Nothobranchius furzeri: one gene and its partners. The protein of the gene in region 3 interacts with the protein of the main gene of each other region in a pairwise test. Links are inferred from orthologs where the notes say so. Each region holds a gene or a part of one and is shown on either strand. Other genes may lie near its edges. The genes, in order: bfsp2, ppfia1, mbip, mcm7, plekhf2, txlnbb and epb41l3b.

The links.
Region 1: the proteins of mbip (region 3) and bfsp2 interact in binary tests that used the Homo sapiens proteins (3 or more experiments, as listed by UniProt). The two-hybrid records come from large-scale screens. The link is inferred for Nothobranchius furzeri from reciprocal best matches to the Homo sapiens genes MBIP and BFSP2.
Region 2: the proteins of mbip (region 3) and ppfia1 interact in binary tests that used the Homo sapiens proteins (3 or more experiments, as listed by UniProt). The two-hybrid records come from large-scale screens. The link is inferred for Nothobranchius furzeri from reciprocal best matches to the Homo sapiens genes MBIP and PPFIA1.
Region 4: the proteins of mbip (region 3) and mcm7 interact in binary tests that used the Homo sapiens proteins (3 or more experiments, as listed by UniProt). The two-hybrid records come from large-scale screens. The link is inferred for Nothobranchius furzeri from reciprocal best matches to the Homo sapiens genes MBIP and MCM7.
Region 5: the proteins of mbip (region 3) and plekhf2 interact in binary tests that used the Homo sapiens proteins (3 or more experiments, as listed by UniProt). The two-hybrid records come from large-scale screens. The link is inferred for Nothobranchius furzeri from reciprocal best matches to the Homo sapiens genes MBIP and PLEKHF2.
Region 6: the proteins of mbip (region 3) and txlnbb interact in binary tests that used the Homo sapiens proteins (3 or more experiments, as listed by UniProt). The two-hybrid records come from large-scale screens. The link is inferred for Nothobranchius furzeri from reciprocal best matches to the Homo sapiens genes MBIP and TXLNB.
Region 7: the proteins of mbip (region 3) and epb41l3b interact in a two-hybrid assay, tested with the Homo sapiens proteins (2 studies listed by BioGRID). The two-hybrid records come from large-scale screens. The link is inferred for Nothobranchius furzeri from reciprocal best matches to the Homo sapiens genes MBIP and EPB41L3.

The regions. Positions count from the first base shown.
Region 1 is NC_091751.1:33,757,128-33,761,631, forward strand, and holds the start of bfsp2 (phakinin), read right to left. Parts: upstream 2,810-4,504; 5' UTR 2,593-2,809; coding exon 2,155-2,592; intron 2,076-2,154; coding exon 1,993-2,075; intron 1,679-1,992; coding exon 1,522-1,678; intron 1,436-1,521; coding exon 1,274-1,435; intron 1,143-1,273; coding exon 1,011-1,142; intron 1-1,010.
Region 2 is NC_091749.1:65,289,380-65,293,692, reverse strand, and holds the start of ppfia1 (liprin-alpha-1), read left to right. Parts: upstream 1-1,257; 5' UTR 1,258-1,398; intron 1,399-3,532; coding exon 3,533-3,802; intron 3,803-4,313. UniProt on the Homo sapiens protein: May regulate the disassembly of focal adhesions. May localize receptor-like tyrosine phosphatases type 2A at specific sites on the plasma membrane, possibly regulating their interaction with the extracellular environment and their association with substrates.
Region 3 is NC_091758.1:21,132,651-21,136,561, reverse strand, and holds the end of mbip (MAP3K12-binding inhibitory protein 1), read left to right. Parts: intron 1-440; coding exon 441-538; intron 539-2,403; coding exon of another isoform or gene 2,404-2,418; exon of another isoform or gene 2,419-2,541; intron 2,542-2,743; coding exon 2,744-2,782; intron 2,783-2,861; coding exon 2,862-2,969; 3' UTR 2,970-3,206; downstream 3,207-3,911. UniProt on the Homo sapiens protein: Inhibits the MAP3K12 activity to induce the activation of the JNK/SAPK pathway. Component of the ATAC complex, a complex with histone acetyltransferase activity on histones H3 and H4.
Region 4 is NC_091741.1:79,972,151-79,976,722, forward strand, and holds the start of mcm7 (DNA replication licensing factor MCM7), read left to right. Parts: upstream 1-1,643; 5' UTR 1,644-1,754; coding exon 1,755-1,785; intron 1,786-2,184; exon of another isoform or gene 2,185-2,977; intron 2,978-3,456; coding exon 3,457-3,536; intron 3,537-3,760; coding exon 3,761-3,925; intron 3,926-4,026; coding exon 4,027-4,151; intron 4,152-4,223; coding exon 4,224-4,404; intron 4,405-4,480; coding exon 4,481-4,572. Other genes in the region: cohesin subunit SA-1, read left to right, coding at 394-495, 585-672, 871-921. UniProt on the Homo sapiens protein: Acts as a component of the MCM2-7 complex (MCM complex) which is the replicative helicase essential for 'once per cell cycle' DNA replication initiation and elongation in eukaryotic cells.
Region 5 is NC_091745.1:67,586,992-67,591,302, reverse strand, and holds the start of plekhf2 (pleckstrin homology domain-containing family F member 2), read left to right. Parts: upstream 1-1,389; 5' UTR 1,390-2,035; exon of another isoform or gene 2,036-2,052; intron 2,053-4,311. UniProt on the Homo sapiens protein: May play a role in early endosome fusion upstream of RAB5, hence regulating receptor trafficking and fluid-phase transport. Enhances cellular sensitivity to TNF-induced apoptosis.
Region 6 is NC_091758.1:20,072,725-20,077,176, reverse strand, and holds the start of txlnbb (taxilin beta b), read left to right. Parts: upstream 1-1,578; 5' UTR 1,579-1,701; intron 1,702-4,313; 5' UTR 4,314-4,352; coding exon 4,353-4,452. UniProt on the Homo sapiens protein: Promotes motor nerve regeneration. May be involved in intracellular vesicle traffic.
Region 7 is NC_091751.1:43,055,818-43,060,314, reverse strand, and holds the start of epb41l3b (band 4.1-like protein 3b), read left to right. Parts: upstream 1-1,614; 5' UTR 1,615-1,777; exon of another isoform or gene 1,778-1,961; intron 1,962-2,001; 5' UTR 2,002-2,042; intron 2,043-4,497. UniProt on the Homo sapiens protein: Tumor suppressor that inhibits cell proliferation and promotes apoptosis. Modulates the activity of protein arginine N-methyltransferases, including PRMT3 and PRMT5.

The DNA of each region.
Region 1 (4,504 bases), on a different chromosome or scaffold from region 3:
TGAGACGGGTTAGGGTGCTGAACAGAGGCAGTGAGACGGGTTAGGGTTAGGGTGCTGAACAGAGGCAGTGAGACGGGTTAGGGTGCTGAACAGAGGCAGTGAGACGGGTTAGGGTGCTGAACAGAGGTAGTGAGACGGGATAGGGTTAGGGTGCTGAACAGAGGCAGTGAGACGGGTTAGGGTGCTGAACAGAGGCAGTGAGACGGGTTAGGATGCTGAACAGAGGCAGTGAGACGGGTTAGGATGCTGAACAGAGGCAGTGAGATGGGTTTGGATGCTGAACAGAGGCAGTGAGACGGGTTAGGGTGCTGAACAGAGGCAGTGAGACGGGTTAGGGTGCTGAACAGAGGCAGTGAGTCAGGTTAGGGTGCTGAACAGAGGCAGTGAGACGGGTTAGGGTGCTGAACAGAGGCAGTGAGACGGGTTAGGGTGCTGAACAGAGGCAGTGAGTCGGGTTAGGGTGCTGAACAGAGGCAGTGAGACGGGTTAGGATGCTGAACAGAGGCAGTGAGACGGGTTAGGGTGCTGAACAGAGGCAGTGAGACGGGTTAGGGTTAGGGTGCTGAACAGAGGCAGTGAGACGGGTTAGGGTGCTGAACAGAGGCAGTGAGACGGGTTAGGGTGCTGAACAGAGGTAGTGAGACGGGATAGGGTTAGGGTGCTGAACAGAGGCAGTGAGACGGGTTAGGGTGCTGAACAGAGGCAGTGAGACGGGTTAGGATGCTGAACAGAGGCAGTGAGACGAGTTAGGGTGCTGAACAGAGGCAGTGAGACGGGTTAGGGTGCTGAACAGAGGCAGTGAGACGGGTTAGGGTGATGAACAGAGGCAGTGAGACGGGTTAGGGTGATGAACAGAGGCAGTGAGACGGGTTAGGGTCACATTTGAGTACATCGCTGTTTTTGTTGTTTATGGGTCAGCCGTCAGTGGACTAATAAAGCTGTAAGTTAATGACCTGGTTGGTCTAGTCATGGATGAGGTGGTCAACCAGGTCAGCGTTCATGTGTCTCACCAGCGCTCTGATGGACTCCGTCTCGGCCTGAAGACTCTGGATTTTGCAGCCAACATCACCACACTCCACCTTCAGTGCCTCCACCTGCTCCTCCTCTGGGCTCGAGCTGCTACCCACACATTGTGCCTCCTGCTGAAAACACACACACACACACACACACACACACACACACACACACACACACACACACACACACACACACACACACACACACACAGGTTAGATACACTTGTGAAGTAACCTTACAGATGTCTCATCCTTACCTTACACTCCAAGTAGCTGTCGGTCTCAGCTCGGTTCCTCTCTGTCACTTTCTCCCAGTGGCTCCTGATGTAGGCCAGAATCTGGTCCAGACTAGTCTGTATGGGTGCGTCAGGTTCGTCCACCTCCCGTCCAGCCATCTGGTTGTAAAGAGCGCGCACGTCCTGCATCAACAGGTGACTGAAGGTAAGCGAAGGGATCTGACACCCAGCTGCAAAACATTGTCCTAAATTTCTGTCTTTGATACAACCTGCTCATGGCTGCGTTCCAAAGACCTTAGCTCCGCCCTCATGTCTTGCATTTGCTCCTCAAGCTCCGCCTTTGTTATGTTTGCCTCCTCAATCACTCTGCACAAGGAGCTGATCTCCTCCTCCACAGCCCTCCTAAAGGGCTGTTCAGTCTCGTACCTGCAAAGAGCAACAAGTTACCAACTCCTCCTGCAGGTAGGCACATTCCAGCACCTCCTCTCAGCCTCCAGGGGGCACTGTCTGAGAGCAAATGAGCTAAGTCTGACTGAAGCTGCAGACTGGAGGTCATGGAGACAAGGAGACGTAGCCTAGTCAACTAGACCAAATTCTTGCTTTGCAAAGTTAAATACTACATTTATTTAGTCTGGCTTGCCAGACTAGAGGAGATGTTCTGGAGGAGGTGAATTTCAGACTGCAGCTGCTCTTATGGACATTCAAACTGATTGATCAGCTGACATCAAACACTGTCAGACCTTTCCCTGAAATCCTCGGCGCTAGCCTGAACGTTCTCAGTTTGCAGCATCAGTTGGGCATTGTCCAGGATGGCTTCGCTGACCTGCAGAGAACACAGGAACGCAGAGTGTTGACACCCCCTCTGTCCTCCCTCAGCCCCTCACCTTTCCTCCCATCCTTACCTGCCTGTAAATGTCCTCCCACTCTGCCTTGAGCGGACCCCAGGCCCCAGCACTGGAGGCCTTTCGGTCCAGACAGAGGCGAATCTGCTCTTCCAGCTGTTGGTTCAGCTGCTCCAGCGCTCTCACTTTGTCTCGATACTCCATCAGGGAGCTGTTCAGGCCTGCTGCTGCTCCACCTCCTGTAGCCCACTCCCCAGATCGAGGCACAACTGGTGTGGCACTACTCCTCATTCCTTGCAGGAACACACTGCTAATTCCCAGAGCCCTGCGGGACACTCGTGTTCCCAGTCCAGAAGATGTAGTTGAGGATGTGGGGCCTACAAAGACTCCATGGGGTGTACTGGTACTGGATATGCCCATCCTACCACAGGGGATAGACACTGGGCGATCAGCGGTTGGCTGTCCCAAGAAGGACGAGCGACGTCTGGCCAGAGGCATGGCGCTGAGGTCCCAAAGTCAAACGGCTCAGATCTGTTCACCACCGGGATTTATGGAGTACTGAACTTCTAGAAACATAGCTACTTTTGTTCAGGAGCTGTTTGTGCGGCAGCTGACTGATGGCTTTTGTTCCCGTAGAAACATGGAGTCATGATTCAGCTGCATCAGCACCAGGGCGGGGGAGGGGTGTTCTAGACTCTGGCTGATGGACACCATCTAGACCAGAGGTCTGCAGTATCTATGGAAACAGAAGCAACACTCTGAGGTTAAAATCACATTTCTGAAATCTTTTTCCCTCTTCCATAAATGCTCAAAATGCACAATTCTGTTTTCTATTGGTGGGTTTTAAAGTAGAAAATACTTTAAAATAGAACATGGGTGTTTTTTCTGTGGTTATTTGCAGAAAATGATTTAAAACAAAAACATAGATAGATTTACAAATAAAACAAGTACTTTAAGTGTCATTTTTGTTATTAAATTCAGTCAAATTAGTCCTTAATTAAGCTGACTAAACCTGCATTTTTTATTATAACTATATTAAAAACAAGAGTTACTTTATTTTTCACATCAAGAGCCAAAATGGAAGGTTCATAGAGCCACTTGTGGCTCCAGAGCCACAGGTTGCAGACCGCTGACTCGCTCACCCTTCAGCCCCCATGAGAGACCTGGTAGTTGTGGTAACTCTAGCAGCTGTGCTGGCCTTGGGGCCGTGGTCCTGCATCTCCACTGGACCAGGAGACCACAGATCCAGCCCCGTACCCTCCAGCTCTCTGGAGCTACAGGAGATGCTGAGGTTGTTGACAGGAAGTGGTGAACGCTAACGCAGCCACCAGCAGTTTCCAGCTTCTACTTAGGTTTCAGACAGTTTCACAAGTGAAAGGTCAACCAGTCCACACGTTCAGTTCCGTTTGTTCTACAGCTCCAAATGACCAGAGTCGTCTCAAGGACCTTCACGCAGTAAATAACACAGGTCAGGTCATTATGTCACACACACACACACACACACACACACACACGCACACGCACACACACACACACACGCACGCATGGCGCACGCACGCACACACACACACAAATACACACACACACATATACTGACAAACACACACACATCCAGACTCGGGATAATCCCAGATTTAATGTGAGGAGAGAAAAGCAGCTCATGGAACGTGACCTCTGACCTCCGCTCGTTTTGATCTCAGGACCAGGTTGTGTTTCCTCTTTTCTCACATGTCATTTAGCTCATTTCATCCATCCATGCTAAGGGTCATCTGAGGTCAGCTTCCTGCATCTGGGTCTTGTGGCGTCGGCATCAGAAGACTGGCGTCCTCTCTGCTCACACGTGACATCTGCGGTCTCCACGGATGGCGCCTCATATCTTATAGTTACATCATGCAGAGAGACGAGACACGTCTGGTTTCACAGACCGACAGGATGCTGCTGCAGCTGCCGCTGGTTCTTATCTGCACCTGAGTGAGCTTGAAGATTCACAAGGCCTGCCACCACATCCAGCCTGAGTCTGTTGGCTCCACAACCATTTAAGGGCATTTTTAGTCTTTCTTTCTCTTTCCCCTTCTGCTCAGACTGTAACAAACATGGAGGAACATCTGAATGGAGACATGACTTTTTTATTGTGTTCATTTTTTTTCTATATTGAATTATTTATCTTGTATTTTACTGTTTACAATGACATCTTATTGTAGAGTTGTGTTATAACCCAGGCTGTTGGGTAGCTTTAACTATCCAGTTGGGTCATTTTAACCCAGTATGCCGGGTCAGACTCCCTAACCCTCGGTCCTTCTCCCACCCAGCACTTGGCTGGTTTCTGAGTCCTGTAAAACCCGGCCGGTCTCTTTGGCATACAGAACCAGGTTCAGGTCTGTGTTTGATCCGTACAACACAGCAGGATCTC
Region 2 (4,313 bases), on a different chromosome or scaffold from region 3:
GATAAACTTGGTCTTGAAGAATTTCACAATTACAGAAGCTGAGCTGCAAAATTCTTAAACTTTACCAATATTACATTTTTACTTTTGGTAAGACAAATGTTGTGTGTGTTTTTAACATCAACGTATTTAATATAAACTTAATGTTTTGAAGTGGGTTGAGTTTAGGGCTGAAATAAACCATACCTAGATTGTAGAAATCTTTTTTTTCAAAGCCTTATTTTAACTTTTTTAAATTAATTCACTTTTGCAGCGACATAATAAACGCTTCTAGTTTATCTAAACAGTTTTGTCATCTTTGTTCATTAGGACCAAAGTGTAAATCCTCCACATTTACAAAAAAAAAAAAAAGTTTGCATGTTTGTTAGGATTATTAACCTGAGCCTCGGATCCCCACAGGAACTGGGAATGCTGCTGCTGCTGTTCCTTTTCCTCCAGCCAGCCGGGAAGCAGCGCTCTCCTCCCGCAGACCGTCAGGCTGTCCCGACTGCCCAGGCTGGCAGGCAGTGGCGACGGCAAAGGACACGACTCGCGGACCGCTAAAGTGGAAAACACCGAAGAAACCTCTGAAACTTGGACATAAACCACGAATGTTTAAGTTTGGATTTCCCAAACGGACCAGGAACGTCGCAGACAGCTCGGTGTTGGCTGGAAGTTTCCGAGTCGAACGGAACGCAGCCGGGATGTGGTGACGAGACTCCACCGGGAAGCTAACGCTAGCCGGGAGACAAACACTACATCGGTTTCTTAGATCTCAGGAGATCTACTTCGGGATTTATTGTTTTAGAAATCAAATAGTGCGTTTTGTGTCGCACATTCTATAATGTTATGTACTTTTATATGAGATTTAGCTCAAAAGTTACTAAATTAAATTGGCGAGCGTTAGCTACCTAGCAGGCTAGTAGCTGCCGACTTTAAGCTGACTTCAAGCCAAAGATTTCTGTTTCAAATTAACTAGCTAGGCTGCAACAGTTTCCACGTCAGCTGACTCCATCAGCACCCGTGGGCCAGTTAAGAAATGCTACTTTTATCGAGTTTTGCTTCATATTTTACGGTGGCCGTTTGTCTTGTGACGCAAAGATAAACACTTGACTTCCAAATTCAGGTATGCGATCTTCGAATCACCAGCTCTCTTATCAGCTAGCATGCTAACGCCAAGTTAGCCGGCCAAACTTGGGAATACTACCCCCTGCTCACTTTGTGGGTTTGAGGCCTTAAGGAAATCATCCTGTTTTTTCTTCCCAGAAGACCCCATTTCAGCCTTAATCTTGGTGTCTGAACGGGATTTACATGTTTTAAATGACTGGATGTTTCAGAAGTCTCTGAAGGCTGTTGGATTTGTTTAACTTCATTTACAAAACGTGGATTTTAAAGAGTTTGGATTAACGCTAAACTGCAAAGGTGAGTCCAACAGTATGGTTTATGTTACTTTGTGCTGTCAGTCACTTTATTTTAGTAAATTCGACAGAACTTTACATCTTTGTTTGGGTCAGAATGATCCAAGTTTGGTTTATCTTGATGTAATGATGAATAACTCCAGTACTGTTCAGAATCCCACCCCCCTCTCCAGGCCTTTAAAGTTGGTCTTTAACATGTTTGTTTACTTCTTCCTGACTATTCTCAAAGAAATGGCATCACATAGTTTATTAAACCACTTTAGTCTATAAATTATGCAGTTAATGAAATACTTCTTAACTCAAATGATGAAGCAGAGTTGTGTTGATTCATTTACTTTGTTATCCCTAAATCCTGACCTATGGTAGATGTCCACCTGGAGGATCCATGAGAGACCTGAAACTACTTCATTCATCGCACACTTTCCCATTTTTCCACAGACTGAGAGCTCTTCCGTAATCACCTTGTTAGAATATAATTTCCTGTGTTTCAAATAAACAAAAAGTTCTTAAAATGGTACACCACGAGGACTGGGATTAAGTTAAAAAGCAGCCAGTTTGAGAAAGGTTGATTTGGAAAATGGCTGCACTTGAGTTTGACTGCTGGGAGGGAAATCTAGGGAAGAGGCCTGAATTAAGAGTTTTCAACTTTACCTTAGATGTCAACAGTTGGCTAGGTCAGTGATTCCAAAAGTTTGGGTCGGGATGCTACTACAGGTTCTAGGTATTACACCCGGGGGTCGAGATGATCTTCAGAACTCAAACTAAAGAATAACTTCTGTTTACTATCGCTGATGTAAAAGCCTAAACAAATACGAGGCAAACCATTTCTGTTTATTTAGCCTTGAAGCCGTGTTTGGGATTGTGAGTCAGAGTCGGAGGTGTTTGGGCCTACGGGTCTGGATGAAGAACACTGATAACTGGTTAAAGGGATTTAAGGATAATTGTTCCTCCGAGTCTTTGATCCAGGTTTCGATTTGTTATCCCTAGTTTTTTTGTGTCTCTCCTGAATTGCTCACCATCTGTCACTACCTCTCATTGATGCTGAACGACCCTCCCCCATACAGCTGATTCTGAGTGGCTTGACCTCAATATGACAACACTGGTTCTGCATTTTTGCTTCCAGTAAATTAGGTTAAGTTTAACTCAGAAACCGTGTTTATCACATGAAACTAGCTGTTTCTGATAAGAGCTAATTAGGAATGGCAGATTGAGTTTTGTCTTGTTAATTAGCATGTAACAAACAGAGTGCTGCTGAGCTCTGGGTTCACCCAGCTGGATGCATCCTAGATGAAGAAGCCTTTCGGCGGCTGGAAGAGTCAACTGCTGGAAATATTAGCTCTCCAAGAGTTCCTACAGGACTTGTCCCCATTCCTAGGTTGTTGTTCCGTGTAGGTGTGTTAAATCCAGCTCACATGATTCCTGGGCAGTGTGTCTGGCTTTGGTCTACAGACTGTAAGCCCCTTGGTGTTCAGGCTGGTAGAGGTTGGTAGCTGCAGCGTAGAAATAATCACAAAACCTCCAGGTTTCTGATTGGTCACCTGTTTGGGTTAACCTAAAGTTGGCTCATAAGCTTCCCTCCATCCCAACAGCCTACTGGATATTTTCTTTAGCCACCTGCTTAGGAAACAACCTGCTGAGACCCTTTCTGCTCAGTCTTTAAAGTTTGCTGATTAAAAGATTTGGACCTTTGAACTTGTGTGATGCTTTATCTCGGATGTGTTCAGACAGGTTTGTAAAAACAGTTGGTTTTAAACCAGAACTTTTATCAGCCTGAGCAGTTTGTCCTCTGACCTGTACCGGCTGTTTGGACGTGAGCTAATTTACAGTCAATGACTATTTTTTTAAAATCTTTTCCCATTTTTTTCCAGCCATAATTTACTTTCATAATCTAATCTAATATATTAGGGCAAACCTCACAGATGGAGAAAACCTGTCTCTGAACTGCAGCAACGGCTTTGGAGCCGCGACCTCTGACGGAAGGCCCCTCAAACCCACAGGGTCACGTTTTTAAATGAACATCTGACACTTAAGTTGTTCAAAGATACAAAAACCAAAGAAGCAGCCAATCACCTGACTTGACTTCCAGATTTTCATCTTCAAACTTTAATTCTGTCATTTCTCTCTACCTCTGGCTGCAGATGATGTGCGAGGTGATGCCCACAATCAGCGAGGCCGAAGGGCCTGGTGGGGGGAACGGTACTGGGCGCCGAGGCTCCGGCTCTCCTCTGCAGTCAGACTCTGAAGGGCACTTTGAGTCGTTGATGGTTTCCATGTTAGAGGAGCGGGATCGCCTTCTGGACACGCTGAGAGAGACTCAGGAGAATCTGGGCCTGACCCAGAGCAAACTGCATGAAGTTAGCCATGAAAGAGACTCGCTGCAGCGGCAGCTGAACACTGCCTTACCTCAGGTCAGTCCTTATGCAGAAATAGCATACCTGCATCATTAATAGTCATTCATTTAAAGGTTAAACTCCTGTTTTCTCTTGTCAAACCTTATTGGTGTTGGGTTTGGGTCATGAAACATAAGAATTTTCAAATCGGTTCATTATTTCACTTTGTGTAATCACCACTGCTCTTAGTTGCTGCTAACCCATTCGTGCAACCTGGTTGTTTAAGAGCATAAACATAAATAATTATGGTAATTGTTTTTAAATCAGGGAAATCCTGGAAACTGGTTTGAACTCTTAAAGCAGCTGGAAGCCGGTGAAACATAGATGTGGATTTTCATTTGAACATTATAAACAACTATAACTGAGGCAGCGCTGCAGCCATAGCAACACTTACCTTCAAGTGTTTCCCATATTCATCTGGACATTCCTCCTTAAACTCATTTGAAACTTGGATCAAAATATATCCCTGTCCCGCAGATCACCCATCTTTATTAGAATAAACATCTGTTTTAAATACATTTTTGCTTAT
Region 3 (3,911 bases):
ACCTTTTTTTATAAAATATCAACAAGAACATAAATTCTTGATGTTTTTCTTAAGTCACACAAAAAAGAGTTAATCACACTCAAAGATGCACGGATTCTAATTTTTATGGCCGATACTGATTTCTGAGTTTTCACTACTCTAACCAACCAATGATAGTGATGGTGTGTTCATGGACTAGGAAAAAAAAAACAGATTTTATTTTTTTTGTCTTTAACTTGAACAAACTGGGGGAAAATCTGATTCTCAGGTGCTGGGTTGACTGATCACCTTGTCATGTTGAATATTGGCTGATTTAAAACACCAGATGATAACTACGTACATATTTTTGGGGAGAATCTTGTCACACGATGATTTCTCTCCCTATTTTCTGGGTTTTGTTTTAGTCCTTTTTTTCCCAGTCTGGTGTATGGAACATATTATATTTATGTTTTATTCCTCAGTGGGTCCGGTTCCTCTGACCGTCTACCAGCGACTGAAGACGTTGGAGGATCGAATCCTGGAGCTGGAGGGACTCTCTCCTGAGTACTTTCAGTCCACGGTGAGTCTTCTGGATTAAACACACAAAGCTTTTTCAGATAACATTACAGCACAGAGATCTGCATTAGAAACTAAACTTAAATGATGACAGTTCACATAATGTAGTTCAATGCAAATTCAACCAGTGCTCTCTTAGATTTTTATTCTGTGCAAATCTTCATCTTGGAGCACTTTTAGCCTCCCCTGACGTTCACAGATATTACCTCTAAAGCAGTTTGCTTCCATTTCTCCGTAACTTTTACTTCATTGGTCATTTTTTGTAAAAGACGATGTCTGGACCGCCCTTTAGGTGGTTTAACTTATGTGAGTTATTTGTTTTTGAATGTGATAATGTGGGAATGAGGGAGATATATAGTACATTGATGCAACATTCCTGAAGCAAATTTTAAGTCTGAACAGGTTTTAGGTTTAGAGACAACAACAGGTGATCTTGAGCTTCTATGGTAATAAGTAGTTAGAATATCTGCTGTTTTAGGTAGAGTCCACTGAACTGCTACACTTATGTGAGAAGTTTTAGTTATATTTGAGTCACACGAGGTATTTGATGTAACTACAAAAAAGTTTAAACTATTGCAAAGTTTCTTGTTTCAGTTTAAGTATTCTAATTACCTTCCTGAGCTTTTCTTTGGTTTGCTGTTTTATTTTCATCTGGGGCTCATGAACTTAAAGAGCAAGTCACCCCCTACCAGAGTATTACTTCACTCCCACTTCCTGTTTGAAAAATGCAACAAATGCTGTTGCCTAGCAGACAGAGAGGGCGGAGCCACTAACAAATGCACACAGGCTCACAACGACATTGTGACATCATATGGTACCAGCTAACGTCCTAGGGTACCTCTTAGCCAATAGCGATGGCAGATTTAAATTCAAATGCAGTGCAGAGTTTTTACCTGACAACGGCACAACATTGACAGTTTTAGGCAGAAAATTTAAATTTTAACTAAGATGCACTAAAGTGCTAAACTGTTGACTACATGTGTCTGCAGCACGATTAGACATGCATTTATATAGTTTATCAGAAAAAAAAGTTGATTTGGGGATGACTTGCTCTTTAAACCATTAGTGGTTCAAATGCTTTAAGGAAATGAATATTTTTCTAAAATTATGTCGTGATGTCTTTTTAACACTTGGTATTGAAGCCGGGGCTCTGAAAAAAAACTAGTCTAAGTTGAATAGAATCAAATGTTACATTGAAAGAAGTCGGCCTCCTATAGGAGGTAAAATCTTCATTTGTACATAAACTCCTACCCAAGTTGTTTCTCTTCTTTTGCCCATCGAGACAAATTCCAGTTTCCTGCGACAGATCTGCCTCTAATTAGAGAGAAAATCTGTTTTGACAAAAACATTTTTGAACACGTTTGAAGTTTCAGTGACGTGTGTGAGGAACCCAAGAACCCTTTCAGTTATTTAGTGAATGTTTTTGTCACCTGCAGCTGCAGCCTGGGGGTGTTGGATTATCCCTTTATTAATGATCGTCTCTGACACACATTTAGGTCACGGGGGACAAATGAGTCCGACGCAATGGCGATTAGTTGCAGAGATCCATTGTGTGGCTCTGCTGTTGGACTTGATGCTGAACCCACCAGAGTCCCAGACTCTAATTTAGTGAACTAAAGCAGCCTGTCCAGTGTGTTAGCTAGCTAAGTGTGCTTGAGCTGCTGCGCATCTCTTCATACTGGTATTTCTCAGCACAGCACGCTGCTTCTGTGAGAGCGCTGCTCTCCATCTGCTTTTGACTCACTGCATGTTTGTGTGAGCAGAGCAGGAGATGTCGAGTGTCTTTGAATAAACGGATGAAGATGGGGGTCTTTTATGTTTGAATCCCCCTCCCTCCCTCTCTCTCTCTTTTTTGTTTTTTCGCTGTAGTTTGGTGTTTGCTGAAAAGCTGCACTCAGCTGGCCCAGGATTTCAGGAACAACATTCTAATACTCGGCAGTGAAGCGAGGCGCGGCTCCATAAGGAATACTGGAGGGTTTTGTGCTTGCAGTGGGATTAAATGATGGTTCTTCAGGCAGTTCAGGTTTACCCAAGGTCGTTCCCTGAATTCTAACCCCCGCAGCTCCGTTTACAGCCTCTATTGTGATAATATCAAACAAGAGCAAAATAAATCAGAATTTCTTTAAGTCTTCTGCTTCTTTTATAAAATGTTTAGAATTCTGAGTCCGTTTAGAAAGCGCTTGAGTTGAAATGTTTGGTTATGTTTCAGACACATCTACACAAGCGACTAAAGATGTCTCCTGCTCAGGTTTGCGTCCTCCTGCTTTTATTCCCTTTTGTTATTATTTTGTTATGAAAGCTCAGCTGATCTCGTGTTTTTATTTCAGGCCTGTAGTCTGACAGAGCTGGATGAGAAGATCAGCACGGTGAAGGCAGCGCTGCTGAAGAGGATGAGTGAGTTTGGACCCAGATTTGGCCCCGATTGTTCGCTCTGATGCACAGACAGACACGCCGGAGGTGTTACTCTGGAATTAAATGTGCTTTATTTAATTATCCTCACCTGTTATCACAGTTCTCCAGTAAAAACCAGTGCAAAGATCTAGTTTGTCTTAGACTATAAACAGCAACAGTGTCTGTATTCTGATTAATGTAAATGCTGACTGATGCTTTTAGTTTGGAGTTTTTATAAACCAGCATGTGTAATAAAACAGTCTGACGCTTCATCTCATTTATATTAAACAACCTTTCATTGGGATCTTGTTCATTTGTACAGAAATATTTCTTGTGTAAATAAATGTTTTTCCTGCTCAAAAACCTGGAATCTGTTCATTTAGAGACAATATTAAGGAAATATACTTTAAATTAGGATTTTTCTGATATTTTTCCTTACAGGCACATAGTGGGTAACGTTTAAATATAAAAATACCCAACTTACAGTTTTACAGTTTCACTGTAAAAATTTAAAAGCTAGTTTATGAAATGTTCATTTTCAATCCTTATATCATTAAAATGAGCAATTGTGTCCCTCTAAATAATTACATCTTAATAGACTGATTTCATTGTGTGTGTGTGTGTGTGTGTGATGGTGATGAAGCCCTGAGAGAGCACCTGATTTCTCCTCCCGACTGCTGTGTGACGATGATCAGCCCTAATGGTTGTCATTATAACAAATGACCTGATTACTGCAACTGTTTGGAAAACATACTGGAGACCCAACAAACCAGCATTAAATGGGACGCCGCTGCGTTTGACACTGTGACATGTACATAAAAGCCTTTTGCATGGAGTTTTAACTGAGCCACTGACTGAAGGAATAATTACATATTTCTTTTTTATGAGAGGATCTGAAGGACTGCTGGATTATACTGTGTCTTACATTCAGGAGCTTGAATCTGTCACCTGTTTTCACAAAATGTACCTATGATCAAAAACTAGGA
Region 4 (4,572 bases), on a different chromosome or scaffold from region 3:
TTGAGATATAACTGAGCATTACAGATTTTTTTATAAGTATTAAATCGTCAGTTAGTCTACAGGAATAACAAAGTATAGACGGGGCACACACAGGGCGACAGTGGCACAGAAGTGCTCACCCTGTAATCGGAAGGTTGCAGGTTTGAGCCCTGCTTAGTCCATCGCTGTGTCCTTGGGCAAGACATTTAACCCACCTTGCCTGCTGGTGGTGGTCGGAGGGACCGGTGGTGCCTGTGTATGGCACTCGCCTGTGTCTGTGCCCCAGGGCAGCTTTGGCTTCACACCAGCAGCGTGTGAATGGGTGAATGACTGATTGTGTTGTAAAGTGCCTTGGGGGGGACTCTAGAAGGTGCTATATCAAATACAGACCATTTACCTTGTGATGTTCACTAGGTCACAGATGCCTAATGTGAGGCCCACCAAGCAAGGAACAGCCTCTTCCTCCCAGTCTGCACCCCCTCACGAGCAGGAGGATCTGAATTCCCACCTCACCATGTAAGACTGGTCTAGAACTAAAGGGAAGATGGTTTTTGTGAATAACGTTTTAACTCTTAAACAAGCTAATTAATCTGTTTGCCACTTAGGCTTTCTCTGATAGAGGATGACATTTCAGAAGAAGAGGAGCCTGAGATTGAAGATTATGAAAGTGACCTGGAGTCTGGATACACACTGGTAAAACAGCAATACTGATAGATCTTAGCTTTAGTAATTTAGGATTGATTTGGATAAAGGAAAACTTTGAAGATCTGAGTTCAATTGGGATTTGTGGAGTTATAATACAGTCTGAAGACTTGATTTAAAACTATGTGAATAAAATAATTGTATTCCTGGTAAGATTAAACAGTCAGTCTCTCCATTTTCCCCCTAAAGCCCTCAACACGCCACACCTCTGCCAGTTTCCTGGATGAGCTCTTTGAGTGATGTACTGGAACGCTTCCACCATTTTCAGATGCCATTTTTATGTTATCAGTGTTTGAAGTATTTGCATGAATTGAAATCTCAGCCACCTGTTCATCCCTGTGACTACATCTTTATCTTCATGTTATCTGACTTGCTGCAGTTTGCCATTAAATGATTGAATTGTTAATGTTCTGATGAAAAGCAAAAACTGATATTAAAAATGTTTAGTACAGTTATCCGAATGAAAGCTAAAGCTACCTATTTTGAACACATTTTTGCTTTGTTGATGTGTTTTTTATATAATTGTTCATAAAAAGTGAAGTATTATCGGTTCGAAGTCTGTAATAAAATGGAAAAGCGAGTTAGTGGTGACAATTCATTCCAAAATTGATCATCATTTTACTCCGTTTTTGAGACACTTTTGATGAGTGTTTCAAAGCAGCCTGTGTCTGCATGCACTCTGCTGTTAACGTGTTGAGTTGTTTGTGTGTAACATACAATAAATAACACCCATTGTGATGAGTTGTGTTGTCTTTAGAACATTTCGCGCCATTAGTGGAAAACCCCGGCGGAAGTTTTCATAACCATGTGACACGCAGCTTCCTGCGATTTTCGCGCCACCAAAACGTCCCGCCCATACTTCGTGAAAGATGCGACGTGATTTGCTGCTGGCCGAGGAGAGTGGCGCCAGTTTCTACTCTTGAGACCGGGAGAAGTTCTGGCTGCATGTGAATGAATTCAAGTCTCCGGTGCAAGAAATTTGCTAAACTCTTAAGTAAAAACCTCGTTTAGGTACGTGGGCACCTCAAGATCTCGTTTTCAAGTTATTCGCCTGAACATCAACGTGTGCTGCCATGGCTCGTAAAGATTATCTGGCAGAGAAAGGTAAATAGTTGTCTGTGTGTGTCAGTAACAGCATGGGTGGTAGCAACAGGTTGGACTGAAAGTCTTAATAAATGTTACCTATATGAAGTATGTGTCTTTCAGAGTTGAATTACATGTTCATGTCCTGTTTCAGTAGTTTACGTCACTAGCGTTTTTAAATATTGCCATTTGAGTTAGATAGAAAATTACCATTTTAAATATGTGTACGAATATGCGTCATTTAGCAGCGATGTAATGGAAGTACTAGTTAAGTATTTCACAGTGAGTTTGTTAACGTTGGGTCGTCGGTAACCAGTTTAGCGTTGTCTGCTCTTTACTACCCGGTGACCCGGATGGATCCTTAAACAAAGGAAACAGGCGCCACTGTGCAAGCACATCCGGGAACGCGCACACTATCAAGACGTGTAGAGTACATAAGTAGTCAAGGAACGAGTGCAGACAGTCGGACCTTTCAAAAACTACTTTTGCAAAGTTATACTCTATGCTGTCGACGTGTGTCGGTGTAAAATAAAATGATTTAGTTTAGGGGTAATCTATGTGGTCGGGAAGTAAAGGAAAATCCTTCACCCAACTATGTTGTACTTTTTGTCAAGTGTCCGTTAACGCACCGTCTGGGCTATATTTTGATTTTACAGGGTTGAACAGTGCTGTTAGCTTTTTCGTTACTAGCTAAAATGAATTTTAATACTGATATTTGCTTCCAGCTTATTCGTTTTCAGCATAAACGATTATAGCTTTGGTTTATGTTGATCACTCACATGGGTTTGGAAGGGCTCTGTAGCAATATGTGGTGTATTAATGAATCGTATACACGCGTAGTTCCTGAACGTAGTCGTGTTCCGAGTCTAATTCAGCGAACGCACTAACCAGCAGCAATTTCTTAGTCGTCATAAACGTCTCGTGGTAAGCATTAAGCAAACCTCCTCTCGCCGCTTAGTGATTCTGTCATCAGGACATTAGAAAAGGCAGCGCAGCTGCTGCGTTCACAACTCTAAGCTAACCTGGGCTAATGTTAAAAAATGGCTGGCCACGGTTTGAAAACAACAACCGGGACTGGTTCTAGGAGCGGAGGAATCGCGGAGGGATATCTCCAGTGACTGGGCACAAAAGCCATGTGCTGCTTTGTTTACAATAACATCCTCGAACATGGAAATAACCCCACGACGCAGCAAATTTCCTCTACGGCGGTAAAGTAAGTGGAATATTAAGTTCAGTTCGAAGGCTTGTTCCGTCGCCCGTGGCGCCTAGTTAAATATCGTTGGTAGTTGTGGCTCCTTCGAGAAGTGAGGGGGGATATTTACCAGAGGAAGGGGAAAAAAGGACCGAACTGAGCGCGCCTGTTGTGTTTACGTTCCCACCCCGGGGCCATACGCTGCGTAGTACTTGTTATTTCACTCTAAAACTAGGAGACGAGACTCACATGAGCGACATTCGCTCCATGTTGAGCCCCAGTGACAGTTTATGTTGAACTGTAGCAATAGTGACTCATCGAGATTACAGGATGCCGTGTTACTCAACAAAGGGGGGCTCGTCGTAGGACAACAAACTAGCTCCCAGTGTGCAGGCCCTCTGCTGTTGGGTTTAATACTGCTATTTTAGGAAAGGGACATATGTGAACGTGGCCTTTTTATTTAGTCTTGTAAAGTGGAGCTGTTGTGTTTTTGTTTTCAGAGAAGTGCAAAAGGTTTCTGCAGGAGTTTTACACGGAGGATGACGATGGGAAGAAGGTGTTCAAATATGGAGTGCAACTTGTGAGTATAGTGAATGCTTTTTACGGAAAGAGGTTTTGTGATGTAATTCTGTTTATCTTCCTGCTTTGACAACTAGTTTGTGTTTTGTAACTAGGTTGTTTCTTTTTTGTCTCGTCGTTCTATATCGTAGTCATTTGTTGTTGTTTTTTTGTTTTTTTTTCTCACAAAAGCACATGTGTAATTGTTTTCTGAAGCTTGACTAATTATTTGTTTTGTGTGTTCAGGTGCAGCTGGCCCACCGGGAGAAGGTGTCCCTGGTTGTTGAGCTGGAAGATGTGGCTGAGGAAGACCCAGATCTGGTTGAGAGTATCTGTGAGAATGCAAAACGCTACACAAACCTGTTTGCTGACGCCATACACGAGCTGCTGCCAGAATACAAGGAAAGAGATGTATGTAGATCTTAGTTTTGAGTACATTTTTTAAATCCGCTTCCAGTGCATTTCAGATTTTTTATCTGAAGGAATTCTAAAAAGATACATTTTGTGCTTAGATTGTGGCCAAAGATTCCCTGGACGTGTACATTGAGCACAGGCTGATGATGGAGCAAAGGGGTCGTGATCCGGCCGACACCAGAGATCCACATAACCAGTACCCACCTGAGCTCATGAGGAGATTGTGAGTAGAACCAGATTCGTAATTTTCCTTGTGTGTTGGGGCTTTTTTCACTATAGTGGCTTGTTTCTGCAGTGAGCTCTACTTCAAGTCTTCCAGCACCTCAAAACCCAAAGTGGTGCGTGATATCCGGGCTGACAGCATTGGCCATCTGGTCACAGTCCGAGGCATCGTGACCCGCGCCACCGAGGTCAAACCGATGATGGCTGTAGCTACGTACACGTGTGACCAGTGTGGTGCTGAAACCTACCAACCAGTAAGATCTGGTAAAACCACTCAAGTTTTGATGTAAGATTATTATCCTCATGATGTCCTCCTCATGCACCCACCAGATCCAGTCCCCCACCTTTATGCCTCTGGTCATGTGTCCCAGTCAAGAGTGTGTCACCAACAAATCTGGAGGACGACTCTACCTGCAGACCAG
Region 5 (4,311 bases), on a different chromosome or scaffold from region 3:
AACCCTGCGGTGATGGGAATATTCTCTGCTTCTGTAATACTGGCATTCACACGGAGAGAGTTGGTTGTTTCAAGGCTCAACCTGTCATTAAGTAAATCTGGAAAAAAATTTAAATAAATTGCTAGAAACCTTTAAAAAAGGTCAGAATGAAAAGTGTACACATCAGCTGAAGCCAACACTAACTAGTTTCTTATTTTAAATAAAAGTTTAATTGCATAGAAATAAGTATTTAAATAAAAATATTGGTATTTTTTATTTGATACCAGCAACATGCAGGTGAATTTACTTAGTTTTTACATAAAGAGGAGATTTGCACTCCTCCATGAGGCATTTTTCAGTTAACCGGAGGTGAACCAAAGGCCACATGTTTAGTCATCAGTAGAGGGTGGTTGTAAATGATGGAAACAGCTTTTTAGCAGAGGGGAAATGGAAAACAGTGCAAGGTGATGTATAAAATGACAAACAGGTTTATAATAAACTTTGGAGCAAATAATCACTTCCAAAAATTGGGATATTCTAATTTTAGCTAATGTTCCACAACAAGTAATCCGTTTGGTGTGTGGTACATTTGGATGAACCCAACATAGAAGAAAAGCAGCGTTAGGTCAAAGAAATAGAATTTTACTTGTGATGAAAGAAATATTAAACAAAGGAGTTGTTGTGGTGTAAAACCAAACCAAAACAGAGCATGTATATTTGGTTTAGAGAGTGAATGACTTCCTTTTTTCTCCTTTGGGTAATTAAATAAATTGTTATCACCCTTCACCAAACTCTCTGACATTCCAGCAGTGTGGAAATATTCTCGGACTCATTCATTTGAAGTGTTGGGATATTTGACCAACCCTGTAAGGTCACAGTGGTTTTCTAATACACGATTAGTGTTGCTCTAAGCATCGTGGCATAATCTAATCTCCTCCGGTGTCTCGGTGCAGATTTAAGAGCTTTGATGATGCAAGTGAATAATCACATTGACTCTCTTTGGGTGTTTGGATGAACTGATAAGAGCACCGTCTTCCAGTTTTAGGAAGCAAACAGACTCAGATCTAGTTTGTGGTGAATGATCCAACTGTAAATGTGCTCTACACGCTTTAAAATAGTTCCCAAAAACTAATGAATCCAGAAGCAGATTTGGCCTGTAAAAGTATAAAATAAATAAAAAATAATAATGCAATGTATGTTCAACTTATGTTGTGTATTGTATTGATGAATTTGATACTTGCAGACCATCTCTGCTGATAAAAACTGAGATTTAAATCCAGGAATTTAAAATGATGGGGTTAAAACAACAGCATGTGTTATGAACTAGAGTTGGGTGCTAAACAACTAATGAGTGCAAATGTTTTCAGTTTTTAAAGGGGAAAGCCAAAATCTAGTAGTGTTTCCCTAAAAGTTTGAATTAAATGAATTTTGAATGTTTGGATGCAGATGAGCAGCGTCCTAGCTTAAGGGTAGAGTTTTTGCTGCCACAGGCATTAAGAGGGGGAAAGTAAATTATGGGGAGTTTATTCCCATTCCTGTTGTTTGTGGACACTATGGAAACCGTTGTGCTTTATTTTCTTCATTTTTTTGTTAAGGTGTCAGTGCATTTTTCCTACAAAGCCACAACATGTACCATCTTGTTTACTATTTTGAACCCCAGGCAGGTCTCCTCCCAAAAACTTGGCTTCTGTTCTTGCTCATGATGCCTTCACTGTCCCTTGGAATAATCAAAAAAACGAACTACTTCACTACACGACTTGGAAGAAGGAAAAGATTATTTTTCTTTCGAAATAGGTCAAAAATATGACTTCCCAAATAAAAGTACAGCAATGATTTGCTTCTCAGAACAGACAGCTTCACTTCGGATTTACCAGCCATTAGATTGCCCTTGAACGCATCTTCTTAACGCTGCCATGTTGTTGTTTTATCCACGGAGTTTCCAGCTGCTGTCGGTGTCTGCGGACACAGTGGTCAGTTCTCGAGGCAGACTTACTACTTTACCGATATCACCTGGAATACAGCAGAACTTTAGATCTATTGCAGAAGCTATTTCACAGTGAGTGCTACCGTCGGGTATGTAGTTCTTTGGGTTTATAAGTTGACTGATGATACTTTAACTCTTTGGCTAAAGCTGGTTCCGTGGGTTTCAGCTACTTTTTCCTCATTCATGTTAATAGCCTGTAAAAGCCCGCGTTGTGTGGGTGCTTTTCTTTTCCTTTCTCCTAAATGTTTATCGATTATCGAAACTGGGAACCGCTTTTTCACTCAAAACCGAACAAAAAAGAGTGAAGATTAGCTTTAAAGTAAAATGTATGAAGTGCTTGGAAGCTAACGTCTGAGCTAGCTAGCTAAGTCTGCCAACGGGCACCACTTTCTTTTGCCAACTTGGACAAAAAGTTGAAAAGTAAATTGAACTTTGAGACGTGAGGCATTGATAATAAGACTTTAACTTGTTTGTGGAATAATTACGTTCAATAATTGGTGGAAGTGCTGGACAGACTGGAAACACTTGAACAGTTTAGGTGGAAATACTTGGGCAGAAACTACTAACTTCAATGTGTCTTGGCTAATGGTAACAAATGGAAACTGAACTATTCGGGCAGTTGGGAGTCCACCTTATCGCAACACAGTTGTGGACGTGTGTACTCGAGTTTTCTACCACAAAAAAGGGAAGTTTGATATGTCTTCATTGTGTCTAAGTGCATAAAATCTCCATTAGCTTCAGATGACTGAGGGCATAATAAAGCAACATTTATTTACACATATTCTGTCCCCGTGGTATTGAGTTTATTATCTGTTTACAGCAACACACATTTTAGGTTAGAGCAATACTATTTAAATCATTAACACTGTCTCAAAGAAGAGTGAAACATTAAACATAAAATGTAAAAAAATAAAATAAAAATAAAACTTATTTGATATCTATTGCACACAACATTGTTTTAGATTGAAATAGTTCATTTGTTTTTGTATTTTCCCCTTAATTTTTCTAAGTTTGCATTTCTTTAAAGTATGTGTCTATTAAAAATTGTAGCATTTTTCTTATTTATATATTTTCTTATAGAATTTTCTACTTCTCTTTCAAATTCAGTTTCTTTTTTAAGTTTCTGTGACTTCACATTATTGCAAAGATTATTATGAAACCAGGTGAGACAAGCTGTCGTTCAGTCATAGATGAAAACACAACATTGCAAAATATTTACACCCGCACCAGTGTCAGAGGGGGACAAGCTTAACTTTCTATTTTTTAAGGATCTAAAGTAGTAAAATTAGAGCCCTATGAAATCCATTTCATTTTCTTCCCTAGTTGAGATTTTCTTTTTTTTTTATTCAACTTTTTTTTTACATGGTAACAAATGATTAGATAATAAAAAAAATTAACAAGATTTTCTGGGGAAAACAAGCTTTTAAAATAGATGACAGTTTTTCTAGTGAGAGTTGCTTTTTGTTTCTAAAAATGGGTTGCAGTGCCTAAATCTGGTGACAGAATGTCATTCTTACTTCATCCTTACATATTGCACCTTTGGTAACAGCAAGCATTAATAACATGCCGCTGTAATTTCTGCTAAATTATATATAAATAGTAAAATGAAATCAGTGATTTTTGTTACCAGTAGTAGTCAAGACCCCCACCACCAAAGAGGAGTTCAAGCAGAAGATGCAAAAAAACAAACAGACAAAAAAAACATCAATAAATGTACTCAAACTTTAAAACTTCAATGCTTGTATTAAAGCCAATTTATTTTCAGGCTGTATTTTTAATGTTTGTTTGCATTCTAGCTTTACAAATGAAGGCAGTGGTCTTTCAGGATGTGGCATGTTACTCTACAGCTAGCATAGCCTCTGTTGCAATGTGTTGCATTTTAAATGACACAGTTTTAAATGTGATCCTCTTCATTTGCGTAATGAGGTAGGAATGCCCACAGTTATGTTTAAAACATTCTCAGGAATCTTAAGCCTGCCGCACACGAGAGCAATCTGCAGAGCAAACGGCCTCGAATGACCGTTGGCTCAGCAGATTGCTCGCCGTGTGCACCTGATTTTCACTGAGTTTTCCACCTCACAAGAAGCTGAGACGAATATCTGACCATTCAGATATTTTCCGCCTCACGGGGGGTAGAAACTCACCGTGTGCGCACTACTGAGCTGCCGGCTGAGCTGAACTATTCTAGTGGCCAATCGAAGCGCCTTCTCTGATCACATGATTCCAAGATGGCAGCCCCCTGTCTGCATGTCAGAAAATAAGCAAAACGGAGACAGAGCTGGAAACGGAGGAAATGCCTCTACCTTTTTTGTTGACGAAGCGCCGCCACCGGCATTTCAAGGTTAGGA
Region 6 (4,452 bases), about 1.1 Mb from region 3:
GGTGGTGGAACGACATTGACTTACTCCAAATAACGGCAAATAAAAATCACTTTTTAAAAGTAGAGTGACCGTTACAGTCATTAACAGATACCATCACAAACAATAGAAATTAAAATAACAAAAAAGAAGCTAAATGTCCACAAATTGTTGTTGTTTTGGAGCAGGCACAGCTAACAGCTAGCCTAGCCTAGCGAACTGGAAATCCCTTTCAAACTATAAATTTACAAATATTTAGTAGGAAAATACATTATAATAAACACAGATTTGCTTTGTGTTATTACAATTTTAACAAATAGGTACTGAAACAAAAACTGAACATAAGTGAACGGGGCTGTCAAAGTTATTTCCTGGTCCGCTTTAGCTTACGCACTGAATCACAAATATGTTTTACTTCAATTTAAATGATAAATAATTATGTGTTTTGACTATGTCTGTCACGTAATTTGAGATTTATTTGCTTAAAAAAGTCATAAATAAAAAAATTACAAAGCAGAAGTTGCAAACTTGCAAATATGACGTCGGCGCAGAATCTCATCTCCCTAGCGTAGCTGCTACTTTGCACGTGGCCAGATTTATAACCTTAACTCTGAAAACATATTTTTTATTATTATTTCTGATCAGTCACTAAGTTATGCTGGCTGAACATGAAAATAGTCTCCCACACATATGTCCTGCTATGGTGAAACAAGGATTAGAAAAGCCAGTCAGTGTTAGAGGTGCGTTGCTGTTAAGTAATCTGAGGTAAAATGTCCAAATGTCAGAAAATAAGACAGCTGTGATGAGGCTCACTTTTGGTTCCTGGAAATGCACCGGTGCCCCCCCCCCCCCCCCCCCCCCCCCAAAAGATGATTTCAATTTTAGATATGGTATATTTATTTCCCCACGTTTAGAAAATGGATTCCTACATCAAAGAATTAAATTAGACATTGGGCCCTGTCAACAGATATTAATCTCATATAATCAGAAGGAGGAGAATTTTTTGTGGTCTGTTTATTACTTTTTACAACGTGAAATATAATTATTGAGAGTAATATTCAGTTTCAATGGTGCTGAGCTGGATAATGATGCTGGATTATCTCCCTCCCCAACTACATCGGTCTCTCATTATCATTCCACCTGTGCGGTTCACAACTGTTTAAATTAGAGCCCATCATTCACTTTCTGTCTTTAGGGAGGCAGAAAAAAAATATCTCCAGTGTGAAACTTGTAATAGCTACATCTGGTGGCGAAAATTGAATACTGCAGCTGCAGCGTGGAGGTAAAATAAAATGGGTGCTTCCAAAAGTAGTGTTCACCTTGTAGATAGTTTTCAGCCGCTTTCAGAATTTAACTGTCAGCTCAAAATCAGCAGATTGTGTAAAAAAATAAAAAAAACTGAAAGAAAGGCTTATCAGGCCAGTCTGAGAAACAGCGTTTTCTCTTCTCTCCTGCTCAGTCTCTTTTCATGACTAATAGGAGCGAAGCTTAAAATTAAATCAGCACTGCGTTGATCTAAAGTAGCAAAGGTGCAACACCAAATAACGAGTTTTACTCTGAGGTTTGCAGCAGAGATGAGCTGCAGAGCGTCCTCCCTCTCTGAGCAGTGAGCTGCTCTCTCCTGGTTTATTTTGAGGGGCTCTTATCACAGCTGTTGCATCAGTGGTGGCCGCCTGTCCGAGCCCCTCCACACTCTTTCTGTTCCCCATCTGGCCCTCAGTCCTGGTAAGACCCTGCCTGCTCTTTACCCTGCTTCTTTTCTGATATTTGCACACAAATAACATAGAATTCTTGGTTTCCTAACATCTGTCTCACACGTCTAACAAACGTGGGACTGACTCCAGTGGCGGTTTGGAGTTTGCCAAGTCTGTTGAAGATGAGATGCTGTTAATTGCAGTGAGACTTTCCTGCGTCATTTGCTGTCAGAAGTTAAAATTGTCTGCTGGTGAGAGAAAAGGGAACATTTTAACCTCTAATGAAACGCTGCATAGTTAAAAGAGTTTTCCTACACATAGCTCTGTAAAATTTCCATTTTAACATGTACTTCTTTATAAAAGCGTTAAAAGATCAGAGATATTTGTCTTTATTTGAAGTTTAACCACAATAAAAAGATGTTTTCAAGAAACACTGACCCTGACATAAAAAAAGAGTGGAATAGAATTAAATAATAAACAACATGCCCATATTAAGAAGTTCCTAAAATAGCTTGTGGGTCTGGAACAGGTGCCATTTGCTCTTCTTGTGAAAGCTAATTATATGCATCTAAACAGGCTCTGGCTGCGAGTACGACTCCACAGATACAAGCATGATGGACTTTACTACACCAGGAAAGCTTTGTTCGGGTTTATCACCTCGCTGCTGCAAAGACATTGAAATTCATATAAAAAAAAGGCATTCAGATATTTCATCTAGAGCATTATTTGGTGCGTATTTCTGTTTCTGCAAAAGAAATGTGCACCAAAGTTATGTTTTTAGTCTAATAAACAAAAACAACTTCAGCAGCATAGAATATTTAAATAAGAAAAGCTTCTTGGTGGTGGAATCTGCTTAATTCTGATTAATCTGTTATGATTTCACTCAACAATATGTATGTGAAATCTCCAACCAGTTTTCTCTGTAAATCTTGTTAGGATCTGCAAGGTGCTCAAATGGAGGAAAAACACTTGATATGAGGTTTTTAGACTGAATTTCAAGGTGTTGATTTTAATGTCAGGTTACATAGTTGAAGATTTCTTTATCATTTAAGTGCTGCTAATTTAGGCATCAAACACACAAAAATTCAGGCTGTAAATGTACTCGTTGTTGCTCTTAAACATCACAGGTTTGGATACTGTAGCTGTTGTGGATAGCACTGAACAACCTCAGTTTGGAGAAGCAGAGATGAGTTCTGACTGGACAAATGCTGATCTCAGTGGGGCAAGTCACAGACTGATTAGGAATATCTCAAAAGCCTCACAGTAGTTAGTGTGAATTAACTACATAAGACTCTGGTGGTTTGCAGCAGAAACTAGCTGCTTTAGCATTTCTGAAATTAAATGCTTAAAAGGCTACGGTAGACCAGCTTGTTTGTCATACCAGAGATAATTTCTGTTCCTCTTAAAGCCAGGCGTTCTCATGTGAGAATCTTTGAGGTTGAGGCGAGTTTGGTGTTGTGTGTCCAGTAGTATACAGGGATTACGAGAGGCGATTAGCACCGCACGACCAGCTCCCAATCAGTAATTGCACAAATATCAAACATGTTTGATATTTTCCTCATCCCTCGTGAGGTTATCACACTGTTGGAACAGCGCTGCGAGCCAAAAGTACCAGAACTGCTCACACAGCGCATGCACCAACACGGCTCGTCAGCTATTTTCGTATCAACTCAAGCTGTATTACTTATTTTTATACTTTTCTCTACACACAGTGACAAGGATTGTCAAGAAAGTGTGTTTTATGCCAAATAAAACATTGTTTTACTTCCTTTCTTTTGTCTTCCTTCTCAAACCCCCATAAACCCCATGTTGTCCTTCTATGGCAAGCCCGAAGGATAACACACATTAATAACATAGTTTGAATATGTTCATTTTTCCAAATAAATGCTGAAAAAAAACCCACCAGTAACAACACAACAGGTTTTAGAAATCGAAAGTCTGACATGTTGCGTAAAAACGACTATTTGTAGCATATTTTAGCTCCGATGTGTTGCTAGCACACATACAGTGTGAACAGTACAGTGAGAGAACATGTGAGCTTTGCTCTGCGAGGAAGTCATCCAGTTTGAGATGGAGCTGAATGCTACGAGTGAAAGCCACACAATGTCCACCCGTCCTAACTGATGTTGTCCAAAAGGCTTTATGGAGGATGTAAGATATTCATTGCTTTTGGCCTTTTAAGAGAAACACTTCAAAAAGCGGAACCCCCGCTTTTATGATCTTTTATGGTTTTCTTTCCAGTAAACCACTTTTAAAGTGGCCTAAATTGTACAAATAAATCAGATGTGGCTACACAAACTAATTGTCACGGTGTAGGAGGTGGAGATGATGGACCGCTAATTAGGGAAACATGGGCAGGTAAACGAGGGACAGGTGAGAACAATAAGGGCAATCACGGCAGGAGAGGAACACAGTCAGGTTGGGCAGGGGCAGATCGTGACACTAATATTAAAAAATCCTAACATGTTTTTTGTTTGTAATGGGGAGACTGTTTCTATAAAACCTCAGATATGATGTTTAATTCAACGATGAAAACAGATTTTTTTTTATGTGAAAAAGTGATCAAAGCATTTTTGTTGTGAGATAACAGACAGAGCAGCCGTGATCTGTCTGTAAATGATTTATTTTTGGTCTCTCGTGCAGAGGCAACTGTCTCCTTTGTGTTGCTACTAGCTCAGAATAATGGAGGCTTGTCAGGAGAGCAGCACTGCCCCCACCGGTCCCGAGGCATCTCCGGTCGAGGATCACCACATCGACCTGACAGAAGACCTGGGCCAACAGC
Region 7 (4,497 bases), on a different chromosome or scaffold from region 3:
ACACCTCAGAGTTACGCTCAACAGAGAGGGTAGCTTTGCTATGAAAAAAACCCCACCTCAGACAGATAAGCACACAGACACACAGTCCACTTACTTGGACAATTAGATAATTTTGTGCAAGAAGATTTTTCTGCAGCTCTCCAGAAAAGTCATTCTTTGTTGGATCACTTGGTTTTATTAGCTTTAGCTATTAGCCTATTTGCATGCAATACACAGAAAAACAGATGCTTAGTTTAGAAATTAGTAAGTATAAAAAATAAACAGTTGCTCATAGAAAGGTAATGCTCAAACTGCTCAGGAATATTTCTATTTTAGCTGTTTTTGGTGGAAGAAATTCAGTCTGGAAACGTGCCATCCAGTCCAGTCCTGCTCTAAACAGCTCTTAGCTTGAGTCCACCTAAATAATTTCTCCCTGATTCTCTAAACTGAGCCCACTCTGCTCTCTATAAGAGGCAAAATATGCAGAAGTACTGCAAAGTATGTCACTTCAACAAATGTATACCAATTCCTTTAAATTTGCACAGATCCTAATCTGCACTGAAGTAATGGCTCCTGTTGATACACTGTTTATGTTGGCCTTTCATGTTGGTCATGAGCTTACTGAACTGAAAGCAGCAGACTGTTATCAGAGTAATTTACAACACTTTGCAGTTAGCTCATTTAGATTGGTGGTGAATTAAAGTAATACAAATATCCTGAGAAATCATTTGGCCTGTGATGATGCTGGTGAAGTAACCCATTACTATACTTAAAATGAGATCATTTGTTTACAAATAAATATACCATTTCACAAAATGGTTTGTACTCAGACATTTGCTTGTTTCTCTATTAAACTCTGCCTTTCGTTTTGGTCAACCTCAACAATTTTCAACAAAGCTAGGAAGCTTTAAAGTTTATTTTAACAATGGAGTCTATATTTATTTGATGGTTTGATACAAAATGTGCAGTTAGTTATTTTTTGCAAATACTTTTTAATAGAAGTACATTAGCAATGCATTGAATTGGTACATTCAGAAAATTAAGCAACAAGTTGATGTCTGTTACATTTTGTTTTATTCAACCTAATACATAAACTAAATTACAAAAAGTAAAATGCATTTGAGTGTTTGAATATAAAAGTATTAAAACATTCCCTAACAAATGTTGTTCATTGTTTGCATACTTCCTATATCTCTTTTAGAGTTACCTTCACCATAGTATAGCCTCAGATGAAAAACAGCAAATTAAAAGTAATGATTTTCTTTGTGAAAATTAAAAGATGACATTTGCATTTTATACTAAATTTACATTCTTAAATCTGCAAATTTACTTTTCAAATTTTTGCTTTTGACTTAGGAAATGTAATTTTGACAATAGGAAACGCAGATGTTGATAACGTGAAGACAACAGACATGGTAGGTATTTGATTATATGCTGCAACGGACTGCCTTAATATCTAACCTCACTCGGCCACCTTGTGGTCATGTGACATAAAGATGATTATCTGCTGCTGGTGCGTGTCCTCCCGCGGGCCACCGGTGGGTGGCAGTGTCCCTGTGTTATTTGAGACGGGTTTTTTTTTTTTTTTGGGCGTTCGGAGGTGTTCAACTGGGCCTGGTTTTTCAGGCGGCAGGGGCGGGGTTTAGCACACTGTAGAGGGGTTTACCAAAGCGAGCTCTTACAGGTGTTCGGTCCTTTATACCCGGACGAGCCCGGCGTCGGGATTTCCTCGTCAGTCCGGTGACGCAACTCGGTGACAGCTGGTGTTCTGGGAGGTGTTGTGTCCCCGCGGGCTCAGGTAAAGTGTTTACTCGTACTTATGTGTTGCTTCCGCTTCGTTTAAGCTAAAACGCGAGTGGGTTTGAGCACTTTTGACAGCATTAGCATAAAACTAACATCTGGGTTCATTTGTTTTTCCGTTTAAATCGCCCGGCTTTGAACGTGACACCTGCTGCTTTCCTGGCGACATGGGACACGAAACGGTGAGTTCACGTGTTTATTAAAAATCTGGAAATATGACAGACTCACATTTTAAACATGTTTGGTGCAGCCGTTCATCTTTGGTCAGCACTTTGAATAAGGCTGATTTTTAAAGTGACATACACTTTAGGAATATTTCTTTTAACTATTTAATTTTAACTAATTAATCGTGACTTTAAAATGGATTTATTTTAAAAACAAACTAATTGCTCCACGATCTGATAAAGTCTCTTTAAAAGTGCTGATTGTTTCCTGTCAAACGTGTATAATCATTATCAACTTTTCTATTTTCTGTCTCAGGAAGTATCTTAACCAATTTCTGCTTCTCACTGCTGAGACAGCAATGCTATCCTTTTTTCTAAAACCCTGGTGCAGAAATACCTCATTTAAAAGAAAACGGTGCTGGGCACAGGCTGACCTTTCAGAAATGGGAAGTTGTCACAGCGTGGATTTCCTCTGGGGTCTGCTCAAACTGAAGCATCAGTGAATCAGGGAAAGAAGAGCTCTTTGTTGTAATATTCTCCTTCATGAGCATATCTCACAGCATCACCATGGAGCTTAATGTGGGTCCAGATAGTTCAACAAAGGCTGTTTTATCTTGACAGTTGTGTTTTTATATGCTAAATAAGAAGGCTGATGGTTCTGTTTTCTCATTGTTGGAGTTTAACATGACATTTGGGGGTTTAGTTGTCAAAAATCCTCTAAATTACCAAATTTTTCTATATTTAGTGGCATTTTTACAACCGAAGTAAAAGTTTTAAGGTTTAAGTGGGAGATTTTAAACGTGCTGGACTTTATACTGCCAGCGTCCAATGACAAAGTCCAGAAAACGTGCCAGAGAGGTCATATCTGGATGAAGCCGGCCGTCTTTATAACTGTTCTTCCTGTCTGTACAGATGTATTGATATTTATTTTAAAAACAAGCACATTTAGAGATAAATAAGTAGCTGTTTGTCATCCTAAGCGTGCTCTCAGTGCTGCTAATCTGTACAATTTCTAGTTCTTATATTGTGTCTCACTTGATTAATTTCCAAATGTTTTGTACAAGCATTAAACCAGATTGTGATTGTTAATCCAGTTTGTTTATAAAACATTTGTTGAGCTGATTAGATAAATCTCTGTTTTGTCTCAGTGACAGTGATCTAAAAATGGGCAAAACTTTGTTTCACAGGTGATAAATTTGTTCACATCATCCCTTTTGGTGATACCACATTAGATATGCAATCATAAACAATCATCTCTCCCAGATTTATGAGATTTTTGACCCTATTTCACTGATTGAGTTAATAAAATCTACCAATATACTCTTTATTAGGCCCGAGCAGCGAAGCTGCGAAGGCCTATTATATCTGCTCTGTTTATTTTTTTTTTCTTCCGCGCCTTCAAATGGCTTTTTGGGGGTCTTACCATATCCAAAAACTCACCAAATTCTATCCCAATACAGAACGTGCCTGAAATTTATGTATTTCAATGGCGATGTGAAGGTTGCTAAAAAAGTGGCTCGACAGTGCCCCCTTGAAAATTAAAAATACCCCTCTGCTTTGACCCTTTTTTATCGTAGAGTGATGAAATTTGGTACACTTGTAGAACTCAACAATTCGCACATAAAAGCCTCTTGCACCCTGGTCATTATCAAACAGGAAGTCGGCCATTTTGGGCTAAAGTAGCGATTTTGACCTCGTTTTGGTCATTTGTAGGGTCAGTATTTGGTTGAACAGTTTGGTAATTTTTCGCACAATCGTCTCAAAAATAGTGTGCGATCGATCAGAAGGGATGGACAGTTGAAATGAGAAAATAAAATTGACTTTTCGTAAATACTGAAGGGGCGGGGCCAGGCCTCGAAGTTCGAGCACTCGTCAAAAAAATTCAAATGGCTATAATTTCATAAATGAAAGAATTACAGTTAAAGTTTTTTATGGACATTTCTCATTGTCCCCCAAAGAAAATTGAATGGTGGATTGATGATGTCACACAAGCCCCACCCCCTCAAGACTAAAAAGGCCAAGTTTTACTATGAAATTTCCCAAAATTCACCATTTTGTATACTCACCACAAACTTATAGCAGGTAACTGGAGACAAGTTGGGGTTGCCTGGCCTCACTTTATGGGAGCTTTCGAAAGACAGCGCGGCTGTGATGGCGCGGCGAAGTCAGGCGTAAAGCCATGGCCATACGATTTGCCTCTCATTTTGTCAATTCTAAAGCTATCGCCACAAAATTTCTCATTAGTGATCCTAGTATGATTCGTAATGAAATTTAACATCAAAAATTAGTAGGGGTGGCCAATTCTTTGAAATAGCGCCCCCTAGCACCCTTAAAAGTGCCAGCCCCAAGCCATGCTTTGACTGAGGATTGTGAAATTTTGCACACTTATGTAATGTCTCAGGACCTACAAAAAACCCTCTTGAAGCCATGCTCAATATCCCACAGGAAGTCTGCAATTTTGGTCCAAGTACGCCATTTTGTGTTTTTTGCACACTTCAAAGGTACGTCAATCCCCAAGCGCCCTTTACCCCCATCGCCTTTAAACCTCTGCTTA